2 linked regions of the Rattus norvegicus genome follow. The protein of the gene in region 1 purifies or fractionates together with the protein of each later gene. This does not show direct contact. Links are inferred from orthologs where the notes say so. Each region holds a gene or a part of one and is shown in the gene's direction. Other genes may lie near its edges.

What was found. The genes of interacting proteins can lie anywhere in the genome.
Region 2: the proteins of Lyn (region 1) and Ankrd54 purify together in Homo sapiens (affinity purification with mass spectrometry; 3 studies listed by BioGRID and IntAct, with this or other methods). This does not show direct contact. The link is inferred for Rattus norvegicus from reciprocal best matches to the Homo sapiens genes LYN and ANKRD54.

Annotation. Positions count from the first base shown.
Region 1 is NC_086023.1:21,542,658-21,549,886, forward strand, and holds part of Lyn (tyrosine-protein kinase Lyn), read left to right. Parts: exon of another isoform or gene 1-2,776; intron 2,777-4,309; coding exon 4,310-4,463; intron 4,464-6,413; coding exon 6,414-6,545; intron 6,546-7,229. UniProt on the Homo sapiens protein: Non-receptor tyrosine-protein kinase that transmits signals from cell surface receptors and plays an important role in the regulation of innate and adaptive immune responses, hematopoiesis, responses to growth factors and cytokines, integrin signaling, but also responses to DNA damage and genotoxic agents.
Region 2 is NC_086025.1:112,503,617-112,511,392, reverse strand, and holds the start of Ankrd54 (ankyrin repeat domain-containing protein 54), read left to right. Parts: upstream 1-3,264; 5' UTR 3,265-3,325; coding exon 3,326-3,650; intron 3,651-5,399; coding exon 5,400-5,447; intron 5,448-7,776. UniProt on the Homo sapiens protein: Plays an important role in regulating intracellular signaling events associated with erythroid terminal differentiation.

The DNA of each region.
Region 1 (7,229 bases):
ACCATCATCATCACCACCACACCACCACCACCATCACCACCACTACCATCATCGTCGTCCTCATTGTCATCATCATCATCATCATCATCATCATCATCATCATCATCATCATCTACTACCTGAACACAACACAACAAAACCATTTCCTGGTCAAAAGGGTCCTTTCTCACTAGACACGGTATCTCCAGTAGCTGCCATACCAGTGACTTTTATGTGGTGTTGAGATATAGGAAGTGAGAGGCTTGAGCTCTTCTCTTGGGATCCCTGGGGACAGGTTTGATGTATCTAGCTGACAGTTCTTTCTGTACTGCTGAAAGAGGAAGAGGATATCCTATGAACAAAGCATCCTCCTAATCTGGACCAGCAGAAGCTGGGTCTGGTTTCTTCCCGCTGCTATCAAATATAGCCAGATTTGCTCTGGCTACAGTAAAACCCTTTTGATTCTAAATGTTGGTTGGTTGGTTGGTTGGTTGGTTGGTTGGTTGGTTGGTTTTTAAAAGCCAAATAAAGAACACTGTAGAGTTGGGGGCTGAAGAGAGGGAACGAATTTTACAGACTAGGGTGGTAATACTTGGGAGCCTTTCGCTTTGCTGGGGTGTCTGCTAATTATTGAGCTCAGCTCAAGCTACTTTAGGATTTCATCTCAACACCAATATCACTGTCCGGAAAAGCGCTGTAACTGGAATAGAGATCCCAAGTACACAAGGCTTGTTCAAGACTGTGACTGCTTCAGAGAATCACCTCCAAACACTTTCAGCAGGTGCCCAGCTTGAGTAGATGTGCCTGGAGCCCTCCTAGCAAGTTCTTGGAATGATCTTAGAATAAGCTGACCCTGGAAATCCATGGCCAAGCAGGAGATGGAGCTGAGCCCTGAGTCGGGATTTTAGCCAGCTTCAGCTCTTTGCACTCCTGACCTAGGGTCTATATATTTACTAGACTGTTAGCTAGGTAAGCATGGCCTAGCATTTCAAGAAGGCTCTGTTACTAAGGAGGACTGGAAAGAGGCTCAGAGAGCATCAGTAATGACCATGCAATTGTTTGTATCCCTTTGGGGTTCTAGAACCTTGCTGGCTCATTTCAGCAAGGCACGTCTCTGTCTCCTTAACCCAAACATTCTATCCAGTTGTGTAACAGCTTCTTGGCCCATTCTTCTGCTTAGTCCCAGCATGCTCTGCACTCTTGCCTTGCCTTTAGTAAGTTTGGTTGAGGTTGGCGTGCCAGCAAACTATGAGAAACTGAAGCCTGAGTCCTGCCCCAACAACGTTTGCCTCAGTCCCTTGTGTTACATCACCCTCTGCCCTCTATGTCATGCCCCACTGGTCTGGTGCAGAGTCTTCTAGAGGAAGTCACGAATGCCAGCATGCCCTTGCCAGGGCATTCACACCCCACCCCACCGCCTTCGGTGGGCTTCCTGTTGAAGCTATTTTGAATATTTCCAGATAAGGGCGAGCATCTTCTGTGCGCCTAGGGCCGTTGAGAGTAGGGAAAGCAGAGGCCACCCAGCTGTTGCTATCTCAACCAGCCTCACATTTTCCCCCACCATGCTCTGGTTTCTGCTCTATGTGCTTACCTATCGTCAGATGTGTGCAATGTTTTACAAGGTCAGCCCCCCATGTCATCGTGCTTCCTTTGTACCAAGTTGAGAGCTGAATGCAGGCAGCACATGCAGCTCACCTGTGCCCAGGGAAGTGGCCACATGAGATGGGCACATGGACAGAGTGACGAGCCGTGGAGATGCACTCCTCGGAGAAAGTGCTGTGCTACAAAGGCTCAGGGAAAAAAAATGGCCTCTCAGCCCAGACCTGCAGGATGAATGGGCCACATAACGGGGGAGTGAGGTTTGAGGGTGGTTGCCAAGAGGCTGCAGGAGGAGTCATGGTGAGGAATCAGGAAGATAAAGCAAAGCCAGGTCCTGTAGAATGCTACCAGCTCCTGGTAGCATTATTAAAGTATTTGGACAGTGTGCCTGGGTGCCCATAGGGAGTGAAGTTCTGGGTTGACTAGACTTCAAAGTAGATCTGGGGCACTTTGCGTATTCTCAAATTGTTGTGACCAGAAGAATGACACCTACAAATCCTGTGTGCTAGCAACATAGCTTCCTGGACCCTACCTAGTTCGGGGGCTGGAGAGATGGCTCAGCGGTTAAGAGCACTGACTGCTCTTCCAGAGGTCCTGAGTTCAATTCCCAGCAACCACATAGTGGCTCACAACCATCTGTAATGGTATCTGATGCCCTCTTCTGGTATGTCTGAAGACAGCTACAGTGTACTCACATATACGAAATAAATAAATAAATCTTAAAAACAAAAATCAAAACTCTAGCTCGTTTTTCTGGAGGAGATTAGTGACAGCAGCAAAGTTGCACTCGAGTGAGAATAGAAAAGATATACAGTGCAGCCTTTGCCTTAGAGGCGTTGATTATCTGGTTGCTGTGGCAACAGTAAGCCCCCCCCCCCAACAGAAAACAATGGTAAAGCTGTAACCCTTAGCTGTGAGTAGTGTTTGTGCAGACCAACGCTGCAAGACAGGTGAAGAGAGGTTCAGGATGGGACTAGGAGGACTCCGGAAGAGGACCCAGGATGAGGCCTGGAAGGAAAGGAAGTGCTAACCAGCTGCTCCTTTGCTGAGCAGTAGAGGTTGAAGGGGCTTGTGCAGTCTTCACAGTGTGAGGTAAGGAGGCTGCTGCTGCTGGTGATGGAGGAGCCTTCCCAGATGCAATTTACAGCCTCTGGGGGACAATTCACTCTATTGAGAAGTCATCCTAATTGAGGAAGCTTCTCTTCTTTTTTTCTTTTTTTTTTTTTTTTTTTTTTTTCCCCCGGAGCTGGGGACCGAACCCAGGGCCTTGCGCTTCCTAGGCAAGCGCTCTACCACTGAGCTAAATCCCCAACCCCAGAGGAAGCTTCTCTTAAACACATACACACAAATACACAGACAAGTACACAGAAATACACACACACCACAAACATGCACTCCATAAACACACGCAAGCACACATACATGCACACATAAATACACACAAGCATGAGCGTATGCGCACGTGTACACACACACACACACACACACACACACACACACACACACACACACACTTTCTTCCTTCCTTATCCTTGACTGTGTAATTTGGTGGCACAATCCTTTAACTGATTTTTTGAGCTCTGCCACATTTCCTACCAGCACTAAGTAGTACCTTCTCCTCTCTGGGCTGTTGTCTATATGAATCCTTCATTCTGCCTCATATTTTTGCTTTGTTGCCAGAGTATATTCTGTTCGTCCTGAGGGACTATGCTCAGAGGCTCTGGAGAGCTGGCCCCACCTCTTCCTTAGCAAGATCCTGACAGAAAGGGTCTTACTAACAAGCGTGTGTCTCACGTCCTGTTGCTGGTGTCTTGTATTAGCAAATCACTTTCTTCTCTTCTGTTGTCTTAGTTCTGGTTTCTACCACAAAATACCATGGACTGGATGTTTCCAACAACAGGCATTTATTTCTTAGAGTTCTAGGGACATCCAGAAAGAAGCACCAGCACATTCAGTATCTGGTACAGGCCCATTCTCCTTACAGCCTCTTAATAGCCATGGCCACCCAAGGTGGAAATGATTAGGAAGCTCTCTGTGGCCTCTTATATAAGGGCACCAAGTCTGCACTGCCCCCCAACCTAGTTACTTTACAACTACCAACACATAAGGATCATATTGAGGGTCAGGATATCAATATATAAATTTAGGGGACCTCACCTAAGAATCTAACATGACCTCTGTATATCAGCATGGGCAGGTTTTACAGGTCTTAAAAAAAGCTTTCACACTGTTAAAAATGCTGAATCTATTGTTATTTAAAAAACAAAATGTTACCATGGGGCTGAGGTGATAGCTGAGCAGTTAAGGCCGTGAACTGCTTTTAGGGAGGGCCCAGATTCAGTTCCCCTCTCTCATGTTGAATTATCTCAACTGCCTGCAACTCCAGCTCCAGGGGATCCAATGCCCCCTTCTGGCCTCCAAGAGTACCTGCATGCAATGTTTTCACTGAGACACAAAAGACACACACACACACACACACACACACACACACACACACACACACACACACACGGACCGACACGAACACACACACACAAAGAGATAAATAAAAATAAAATAAAAACTTTTTTTAAAAAAGTTACCATTGTTGGAGATGTTAGGGACAGACTTTAAAAAGAATTCTAAGGGTGACTTTAGCACTATCTTAAAATTTTGAAAAACTAGTTTTTTTCTTGATGGCCAACCATGACAGCCTCTCTAGAATATGAACATGACCCCCTTCTGTTTGCAGATTGCAGAAGGCATGGCGTACATCGAGCGGAAGAACTACATCCACCGCGATCTGCGAGCTGCCAACGTGCTGGTCTCTGAGTCTCTCATGTGCAAGATTGCAGACTTTGGCCTCGCGAGAGTAATCGAAGATAATGAATACACAGCGAGGGAAGGTACGTGTGCTGGGTTACAGAGGCCATCTTGCTGCAGGAGTGTGCTATTGCCCCCCATGATGATGCCCTCCCACTTTTCCACCCCCCAATTCTGTCCTGTGTTCTCTCGGTTCCCACCGACCTTGTTTCTACCTTCAAGACAAGGCATTGCTGTGTAATGAGGAAATCTCCTAGCTATGTATCTGACAGGTAGTTAATATACAAACAACTCAAAAAGCGACATAACAAGAAATATTTCATTATTTCTCTGCCTAATTTCATTTTTGTTTGCTTTTTAATAAAGCATCTACAAAAAAGTCATCATTTTGAAGGGGAAAAAAAGGGCTTATTTGGTACAATATTGAAGATGTGCCTCAATGGTAGCTTTCTGTGTAAGATCTGTCTTGGATAAGGCCACTCAATACTGTAACAAGATTCATGAACAGTAGTATCTGTCTTCTTCTTTGCTGGTTTTTGAGATAAGGGGGTGTTTTACTTTTTGGCAGTGGGGATTAATGGACGAGGGTCTCATCTTTGCAAGGCAAGAGCTCAACCACTGAGTTGTAGCACAGTCTTGCTGTGTAACCCAGGCTGGCCTCAAACTCTAAATCTTGCTGCCTCAGCCTCCCACGTGCTGGGACTACAAGTATGTGCACCACACATCCAGCCTTGTATTTCACTTAGTCAACACTAAATTTGTCAAAATTAAGATTCTTTATTTACCCTGTAAGGCAGATTTTTTCCCCTCTCAAATAATAAAGCACATGTGCTTCCCTGGACTGCAGAGATGTTCGTAACACTTAGTCTATGCTGCAGACCACTGATGATGGGCCTCGGAGGTTCTGCAACTCTAGAGATCCTCTGTAAGGGTCTGAGCCAGGATCCAAGCCAGGGAATCCAGCTTTTGAGTACATGAGAGAGAATTGATTACACTGGTTTGTTGACACCAACAAGCACTGAGTCTTTGAAAAATACCAGAAAGGACAAAGACCATAAAGAACATGTTAGGATGATACCAAATAGAAAGTGGTAACATGGAGATGCTCCGAGACTCTGTATCTCTGTCCTCCCATCATGCACCACTGCTCCAGGCTGTCTAGAAACAATCCAGGAGTCAGTGATTGTGAGCCCAGCACACAACAGGTGTACACAACTGTCTGTTCTGTTCTTATAGGGACTACTAGTCTTAGTAAGGCACTGCAAAAGAAAATGCCTGCAAAGACATAGTAAAGATAATGTTTTCAAGCAGTGGCTATGAACCCCTAGCAGTTCCACAATGCTGGAGCTACAGACTGCGCCAAGTCTTGCTTTCCTCGAAGGAAATTAAATATAATTCTGGTTGTGGATCTAGTTCAGTAGTCAAATGTGTACTTAGCACTCATTCCGGCACTAAAAATTAAGTAGGTACATTTAAATGAAATAATAAATATGGCCACTCAAACTTAGAATGGACTTACTAAAGAAAAGCCTGAACTGTGTTGTAGAGAAGGCTTGGTGTGACGTTTTGATACTGTATGTTTGGTTTCGTTTTCTGAGATGGGGTCCTATATTGATGTCCAGGAGTTTAAAGCTAAACTCCTTGATTCAAGAGATTCCCCTATCTCACCTGAGAATACAGGTGCATGCCAGCATACTAAACTCTAGATAAAATTTCAGCAACCCTTTTGAAAGGCCAACAGTGTAAGAAAATAGTACACCGCACCCTTTCCCGTTTAAAGTTGAGCTGATTACAGTGCCCCCTGGAGGTTCTAGAAGAAACTGCTTCTAAAGAAAGGAGGACCCTAAAGGGAAGGGCAAGGGAGGTGACTCTGTTCGAATGACATTTGACACCATGTCCATTTTGATTGTGCATGTATCTTTTCTATTCCAAGTAAATTACTTGAATTTCTTTTAAAAAAAAAGTCAAGGAAGAAAATTACCTCTAACCCATTAGCTTAAACCTGGAGTAAGAGCCCATGTCTTCCTCTTCAGGTGCCAAGTTCCCTATCAAGTGGACGGCTCCAGAGGCCATCAACTTCGGCTGCTTCACTATCAAGTCTGACGTGTGGTCCTTCGGAATTCTCCTGTACGAGATCGTCACCTATGGGAAGATTCCCTACCCAGGTATCACTTCCCCACACCCCCCTCCAGTGCGAGGGAAGAACCAAGCACCCCGAAGACAACAGTCTCGTCTACCTGTGCTCCTGACAGCTTGGGGTCGTTACCTTTTATGCAAATCTTGCTGAAAGATGCTTAGATGCTCCTTTGTCTCTACTCACTCTTCACCCTGTGCACTCGGCACTGCTCTGGGTGTTTCGGTGAGGCAGATTAGACACGAGTGTGCCCCTCTCTGCCAAAACGGGGCTCCAGATGGGGCAGAACATGTACAAGGAACGAGGGTCTTCAATGTCTTCTGCTAGTGGTGAGAACTGAGGTTAAATATTGGGCTGGTATGGTTAACTTGAAAGGTCAGTTGGGTCTAACATTGGTTTGTGTGCATGTTGTTGACTTCTCAGCCTACCTGTGCAGCTCTTTCTGCCGGTTATGGGATCTGAGGACCTGAAGGAATAGGGCAGACTACAGTCGGATGCTTCAGAAACCTTATTTAAGTTTCAGTGTAGTTTTATATACAAATATAACAACAACAACAAAAAGGCAACGATCCAAGGAAGGTTGTGTGAGGTCAGAAAACCATGCAAACAAGCATCAATAAGCACATACTATATATTAACAGAGTAGCCCTTTCCCAGAACTTTCTCAGGACAGACCAATCTAAACACTATCATCTGGCGCATACTATAGATTATA
Region 2 (7,776 bases), on another chromosome or scaffold:
ACTAGCATAGTTTCAGCATAAGAGACCTCAAAGCCCACCCCATAGTGACATACTTCCTCCAATGACGCCACACCCCCTAAAAGTGCCACTACCTATGGGCCAAGAATTAAAACAGGAGAGTCCATGGAGGCCATTCCTATTCAAATTAGCAGAGGAGGGAAAAGCCTAGTAGAGTGGCTACCTGTGCTCTGGAGGGAATCAGAAGAGACCCAGGCAGAGTGAAGGGTGTCTATTTGGTTTCTTAGGGGCAGGGATGGAACTTTCCAGTGTGGCCCAGGATTGGGGCAAACTTGGACTGATGGGATTTTGCTTTTCTATAGAGCGAGCGTGGCCACTCTCTTGCCTTGGGGAGCCTGGGAAGGCCATTACAGCCTTTAGAAAACAGCCTACACTGCCATTAGGGAAGTCTAGGGGCAGGCCTCAGCCACTGGAGCACACCAGTCAGAAGGCAGGCCAGCAGAAGCCCAGCCACTCACATGCCTTAAGGGTTTATGAAGTTTACAAGTACAGGAAGTGAAGGTCTGCCCACTGCAGGAAAGCAGCTTGAGTTGACATGAAGAAGAGCCAACTTCTAGCTCTTTCCATAGCTCCTCTCCTCTCGGCCTTTTTCTCTAGCCAGCTCCTTTCCTTTCTACCACACACTGACATGCAGAATTTAGGACCCCATAGCCACCATACTTGCCTAGGCTCCAGAGGGGGCAACCATAATCAAAGAACAAAGCACCCCTCTGCAGAAGACAAAGACAAGACAAACACCAAGTAACACCTCAAAGTACACTTCCAGAAGCTTAGACCTCAGTGTAAAACCACGAAATATGAACAGGCGAGACAAGGTGCCTCCAACAGAACCCAGTAACCCCACAGCAACAGGCCCCGAAAAAAATGCAATAGAGGCTGGTCAGTGGTGGCACATGCTCTTAATCCCAGCACTCAGGAGGGAGAGGGAGGCAGATCTCTGAGGTTGAGGCCAGCCTGGTCTACAGAGTGAGTTCCAGGATTGTCAAAGCTATATAGAGAAACCCTGTCTAGAAAAGCAAAAACAGAAAGAAACAGAGGTGGTGGATGGCTCAAAGAAAACGGTGTTCTCCAAATCCAGCAGGACCAATACACAAATGAACTCACAGAGGCTGTGGGCCAGACGGGGGTCATCCCAGTGACCAGAGGTGGAAGTGGGCACGGGCTCCACCCATCAATTCCTAATCAATACTAAGTTGCAAAGACACAGTTTTCTTGAGTGACGTCTCAGGGGTACATAAACTATATTTCTGTGTGGGCCCCCTACGCTGGAGTGATTGACCAACAGAAAATAAATTGAACCTGTTTTTACAAACTTTTGTTTTCTATTACATTGTTTGGGCATTTTTGTATCATTGGTCCTTTACTATTTTTGTGCAGTTGTTGTTGTTGTTGTTGTGTGTGTATTTTGCTGTTATTTTGTTTTTGATAAGAGAAAGAAAGGGCATGAAAGTGGGTGAGTAAGGAGGTGTAGAGGGTTTGGAAGGAGTTGGGAGAAGAGAAAAGCATGATCAAAATCTATTTTTTTTTTCTTTTCTTTTTTTCAGAGTTGGGGACCGAACCCAGGGCCTTGCACCTGCTAGGCAAGCGCTCTACCACTGAGCTAAATCCCCAACCCCAAAATATATTGTATGCAAAGTTTTTCAATTAAAAATAATTTTGGGGGGGCTGGGGATTTAGCTCAGTGGTAGAGCGCTTACCTAGGAAGCGCAAGGCCCTGGGTTCGGTCCCCAGCTCCGAAAAAAAGAATCAAAAAAAAAAAATAATAATTTTGGGGGTTGGGGATTTAGCTCAGTGGTAGAGTGCTTGCCTAGCAAGCACAAGGCCCTGGGTTCGGTCCCCAGCTCCGGAAAAAAAATATTAAAAATAATTTTTAGGAAAACAAAGGCAGTTGAATCTCTGTAAGTTGGGGGGCCAGCCTGATTGACAGAGCAAGTTCTGACTCGGCCAAGCTGCACTTAGAAACATTGTTTCAGAAAACCAAAAGAAAAAAAGAAAAGAAAGAAATATCTACCCATCGATCCATCAATCCATCTATCTACCTAAAATCCCAGCACTCAGGAGGCAGAGGCAGGTGGACCTCTGAGTTCGAGGACAGCCTTGTCTACACAATGAGTTTCAGTACAGCCAGGGCTACAGGGAGAAACCAATCCTTTGAAGTCTGAAAGACCACTCCAAGAAGTTGCCCTCAAATCACCAACTTCGGGTAGGTAGACTAGAACACAAGTCCTTTAATTAGTACAAGGTAGTGCTACAGGTGTTTATTTGGCCTCGCAGGTGTTTTCTATTTTAAAAAAAAAAATTTTTTTTTAAAGATTTAGTTATTACTGCCTGCATGTATACCTACGAGCCAGAAGAGGGCACCAGATCTCATTACAGATGGTTGTGAGCCACCATGTAGTTGCTGGGATTTGAACTCAGGATCTCTGGAAGAGCAGCCAATGCTCTTAATCTCTGAACCATCTCTCCAGCCTCTCTATTTAATTTATTAACTGATGAATATTAATGACTTGTGGCGTGTGTGTGTGTGTGTGTGTGTGTGTGTGTGTGTGTACTTGCACCTCCCTTGGGTCAAATTCAGGTCAGTGATCCAAAGGACTTTCAAGACTGAGGAATTAATTGCTCTTCCCTAATCTGCCTACTGCAGGGTTCCATAGACTATAATTTTTTGTTAAAGCAATGATCCCCGAGGAGGGCAAGAGAACTCGATGAAGCAAAATCTATTACGTTAGAAGATATTATCGCCTACTTCGTGATGATCTTCAAATCATAGTGTGTCTGGATTTTTTTTTTTTTTTCTTTTTCTTTTTTTAAAGTTCATTGAGTCAAAACACACCTACTCCAGAACAGAGTTCGGGGGTTTTTTCACTTTCCTTTCTGATTGGCTGGAAACCATCTTACATTGATTGGCTAAAGCACTTGCCAGTCTTCTTTTCGGAGCTACCACAGGAAGAAAAGGAAGAAAGGGGTGTCCTGAACTCAGCTATTTTATTGGCTCCGGTAGCTACACCGCTTAGTGAAAAAACAATCCTAATTTGTGATTGGTTCATATTACCGCCATTCACACTAGTGAAAACCAGTGTTCTCCTTGTAGTCTGCCTTCCTTACCTGATTGGGTGTGCTATGCAGGCTCTGCGAACTCTGATTGGTCCGACGCTCTGGCGCGGTCCGGCCCTCCCGCACTCTGTTGCCGTGGTTGCAGGCCCCGCCCGCCCGTTCCCTGACAGCGAGGCTTCTCCTGGAGGGAAGCGGGTCCGTTGGTCGGTTCGGAACGAGGCTGGCGCTGCCAGACCCGCGCCTAGCCGTTGCCATGGCAGCCACCGGCGGGGGCGCGGAGGACGAGTCGCGATCCGGCCGCTCGAGCTCCGAGGGCGAGTGCGCGGTGGCGCCGGAGCCTCTGGCGGAAGCCGGAGGCCTGTTCTCCTTTGCGGACCTCGGCGCTGCACTGGGCAGCGGCGCAGGCCTCCCGGGTCGGGCGGTGGGCAGGGCCCAGTCCCCGCTGCGCTACCTCCAAGTCCTGTGGCAGCAGGACGTCGAGCCTCGCGACGAACTGCGTTGCAAGATTCCCGCCGGGCGGCTGAGGCGTGCAGCCAGGCCCCACCGACGGCTCGGGCCCACCGGCAAAGAGGTGCACGGTGAGCTAAGTCAGGGACCCTGGGGTCGCTCGTGTGTGATCGCAGTAGTTCGAGCTGCAGAGGACTGTGACTTCATCCACTTGTTCATCCCTGAATAAAAACTTTACACTCCCGAGGGTGGTTATTAGACAATAATGTGGGACAATGGAGAATACTTTTATTAGTAGAGACGGTAGCCCAGAGCCAGTGTCCACGCTGCACCAACTTGTGTGAAGGCACAGGTCTGAATCAGACTGCTTCACACTGGACCCTTACTTAGGCACTATAGTCACTTGTGGCCTCGATTTTCTGATTGTAGGATGGGTACACTACCAGCCTTATTCAGGGATTAAAAGAAGTTAGGCAAGGTTCTCAAAAGTTAGGCAAGGGTCTCAACGTATGTTCTACCTTAACGAAGGGCCAAACACTTGTTTGATACACATTCAGAGTTACATTGTGACCCATGAAAAGTGACTTATAAAGACTTTACTGTAAGCAAGAAAAACAGCCAGATGTGGCAGTGCACGTGTGTAACTCCAGCACTCAGGAAGCAGAGGCAGGGAGATCCCTGTGAGTTCAAGGCCAGCCTGCTCTAAGTAGCAAGTTCCAGGTCCACAGTGTGAGTCCTGGCAATTCCACTCAGGAGGTCAGGCCTTGTAGCAAGCATCTTTTCCCAGCGAGCCATCCCAACATCCCTAAAGCTTACATATTTATTGGCTGACAATTACAGTGATTACCATTTAGTTATTCTGATTCGAAGTCACATAGCAAACAGGTCAGCCAGACTGCCTTAGTATGTCTGTTATATTGGAAAATGGGGTGCAGAAGAATTAAGAATGGAAAGGTTTTTGTTTTTTTTTCTTTTTTTCGGAGCTGGGGACCGAACCCAGGGCCTTGCGCTTCCTAGGTAAGCACTCTACCACTGAGCTAAATCCCCAGCCCCAGAATGAAAGGTTTTAAGGTCTCTTTTTCACACCTAACAGCGTTTGATCCAGTATGCTGGTGTTATAAAAAAAATAGAAAAGAATATTTAAAAGAAAACAAAACAGTGGTCTATGGATGTGTGCAATTGTTATATCTCGTTTGCAACTTTTTGGACCATTCTCTAACAACTAAGGCATTGCTTCCTGGTCCTTCTGAAAAACAGGCGATGCCTTTGAAAGGGGGAAAGTTTCTGTTTAGGAATTAGAAAGTTTGCTAAGTCATTTGGGAGTGACCCGCTTTGAAGTCACATAGTAAGAGGTTGAATGTGATTAGGTCACAAAGAGCTAAATAAACCCTCTCATTCTTTCTCTCTTAAAAAATTAATCTCAATTTTCTTTGTAACAGCTTAGAGCTGGCAAGACAATTCAGCCATGTTTTATAGATAACAGGCTGAGGCCCAGGATAAGTAACTGGCTTGCTCAAGGTCACCAGCTACCACAAGTGGCAGAAATTAGATTTGGCTCCAGAAGTCAGATTTGCTGCAGAAAGTGGCCTCTCCAACTGTGGCCCTGCCAATTTCTCCTTATTGCCAGGCCAGTGGTTTCTATCCTGACACCTGTGCTTCAGGACTGCCATGACTAAAGGTGGGGGATGAGGAAAAGCTAGGGAACCGTGCACCTCCTATTTGGTTCTGGTTTTTTTTTTTTTTTTTTTTTTTGGTTCTTTTTTTCGGAGCTGGGGACTGGAACTCAGGGCCTTGCGCTTCCTAGGTAAGCGCTCTACCACTGAGCTAAATCCCCAACCCCCCCCCCCTTTTTTTTTTAACTGTCACTTCTCTCTTTATAGCTCTGAAGAGGCTGAGGGACTCAGCTAATGCCAATGACATAGAAACAGGTGAGTGTACCCAGGTGGGCCTATGGGCTGAGGGGAAGGAAAGAGCCAAGCACTCTGTCCTGGGCCGTCCACCAGCTCATCCTCACTCCCTTGGAGCAGGCTTGCTCTATTTACTCCTTGCTCTGAAGTCACTGTGCAAAACTCCCTCACCATGCTCTTCTGTTACCCGGAGTTTTCCTGGTGTCATAGTGCTTATCATGCTGTGTGTTTCCTGATTCTAGCAACCATGTCTGTCTGCTTGTCTCCCACCCCCACCTCCCCCGTGGGACTCAGCATATCCCTCAGCAAAGAGCAAGTGGCTCTTTGGAATTCGTGGCTCCCAGGAGTGAACATTCCACCTTGACTGGCAGGTGGCAACCCTGGCTACTCAGTAGCTGGTCCTTAGATGAGTTTTTTGGTTTTGTTTTGTTTTCCCAAGATAGGATCTATTTATGCAGCCCTGGCTGTCCTGAAACTCACTCTGTAGACCAGGCTGGCCTCAAACTCAAAGATCTGCCTGTCTCCTGAGTGCTGTTTTAGATTTCTTATTAGCAGGGCGCCTGGCAAACATGGGTGGGGCTCCCTTCAAGACACTGAGGTTGGCTTTCTACTGATGCTTCTAAGTGTTTCCTAACTGAGGTAGAGCATCAGAGGTACAAGGACTGCTTCTAGAACAAATACTTCTCCTCCTTCTACTTCTACTTCTACTACTACTACTGATGATGATGATGATAACAAGGATTTGGGGCTAGACAGATGGCCCAGTGGTTAAGAGCACAGACTGCTCTTCCAGAGGTTCTGATTTCAATTCCCTGCAACCACATGGTGGCTCACAACCATCTGTAATGAGATCTGATGCCCTCTTCTGGTGTGTCTGAAGATAGGGACAGTGTAGTCATATAAATAAAATAAGTATATTTAAAAAAAAATAATAATAAGGATTTAACCTGCTGACAATGCCCTCCTCGTGTAGGGGGAAACAGGGTGCTAGTTTACTGTGCCTGTTGTATTGTCAGACCTCCATCATAGACCATTTAGAAAAATAGCACCTGGGTTGGGGATTTAGCTCAGTGGTAGTGCGCTTGCCTAGGAAGCGCAAGGCCCTGGGTTTGGTCCCCAGCTCCGAAAAAAAGAACCAAAAAAAAAAAAAAAAAAAAAAAGAGGAAAAAAAAAAAGAAAAATAGCACCTAAGGAGGGAGCTTTCTTTTTGGCTCGTGATTTCAGATCTTCTAGTCCTCAGATTATTTCTATCCTCAGGGTGGTGGAGTGTGCCTTCATTCCTAGCTCTGGGAGACAGAGGTAGTCAGATCACAAATTATGGCCAGTCCGGTCTGCACAACAAACTCTAAAACAGCCTGGGGTAGAGAGGGAGATAAAAATAATAGGATTGGCCTGGGGGAATGGCTCAGTGGGTGAGAACACTTGCTGTAAAAGCAATAGGACCTGAGTTCAAATCCCCAGGACCTATGCAAGTAAAGTCAGTTATGGCTCCATGTCACTGTAACCCCAGTCTTAGTGACTGGAGACAGGTGGGTCCTAGGAGTTTGATGGACAGCATCTGAGCTGCAACAGGGAGCTGCAGGTTCAGTGAGAGAGGTCTTGTGTTACAAGATGGTAAGTGATACATGGCCGATGTCCTCTGCGTGCATACCATAGGCATGTGCACTTGCACACACTATGAACATATAAGCTGTCAACACTGATGCAGACCCATGGTTACGGGAGCCCACTTCCAGCAGGCATGGGGGGCGCGGGGTTACCTCAGGAACCTGCTTCCTGATGGTCCCCTTACCTTTGGTGCATCAGTGGTCAACAGGCGCAGGACCTGGGCAATCTCAGCTTGATCTGTGTGCCGTGAAATTTAATGTTTTAAGATGTTCGAACATCACCTTAGAAAGTTTTTTTTTTTTTTTAAAGACATTTTTTAATGTTTCTTCTTTGGGGAAGCAGGTGCCATGGTGCGCTAGTGGATGTCACAGGACAACTGTGGGGACCTAGTCCCTCCTTTACCCTGTGTGATTGAAGTTAGCTCATCAGTCTTGATGACAAGGCTCTTTAGCTCCTGAGCCTTCCTCTCCACTCAGGCCCTTTTAAAAAAATTTTAAACTGTCTCTAGTATGAGGCAGGAGAATAGGGTTCGGGCTAGTGGGTTTGAATTTAGCCCTGAACGTGTGATTCCCCAGCCTCTGTCTCCAGAGTGCTGTGGTCACAGGAGCGTGCCACCACACCCAGCTAGCCAGTCACCAGCACTACCTGAGCAGGCACTTACAGGGCACTGCCGCATACCAAAGCTCTAGCCTGTGAAATAGCTGAGGAGGAACCAGGTCAAAACCCAGAGTGAACACAAAAC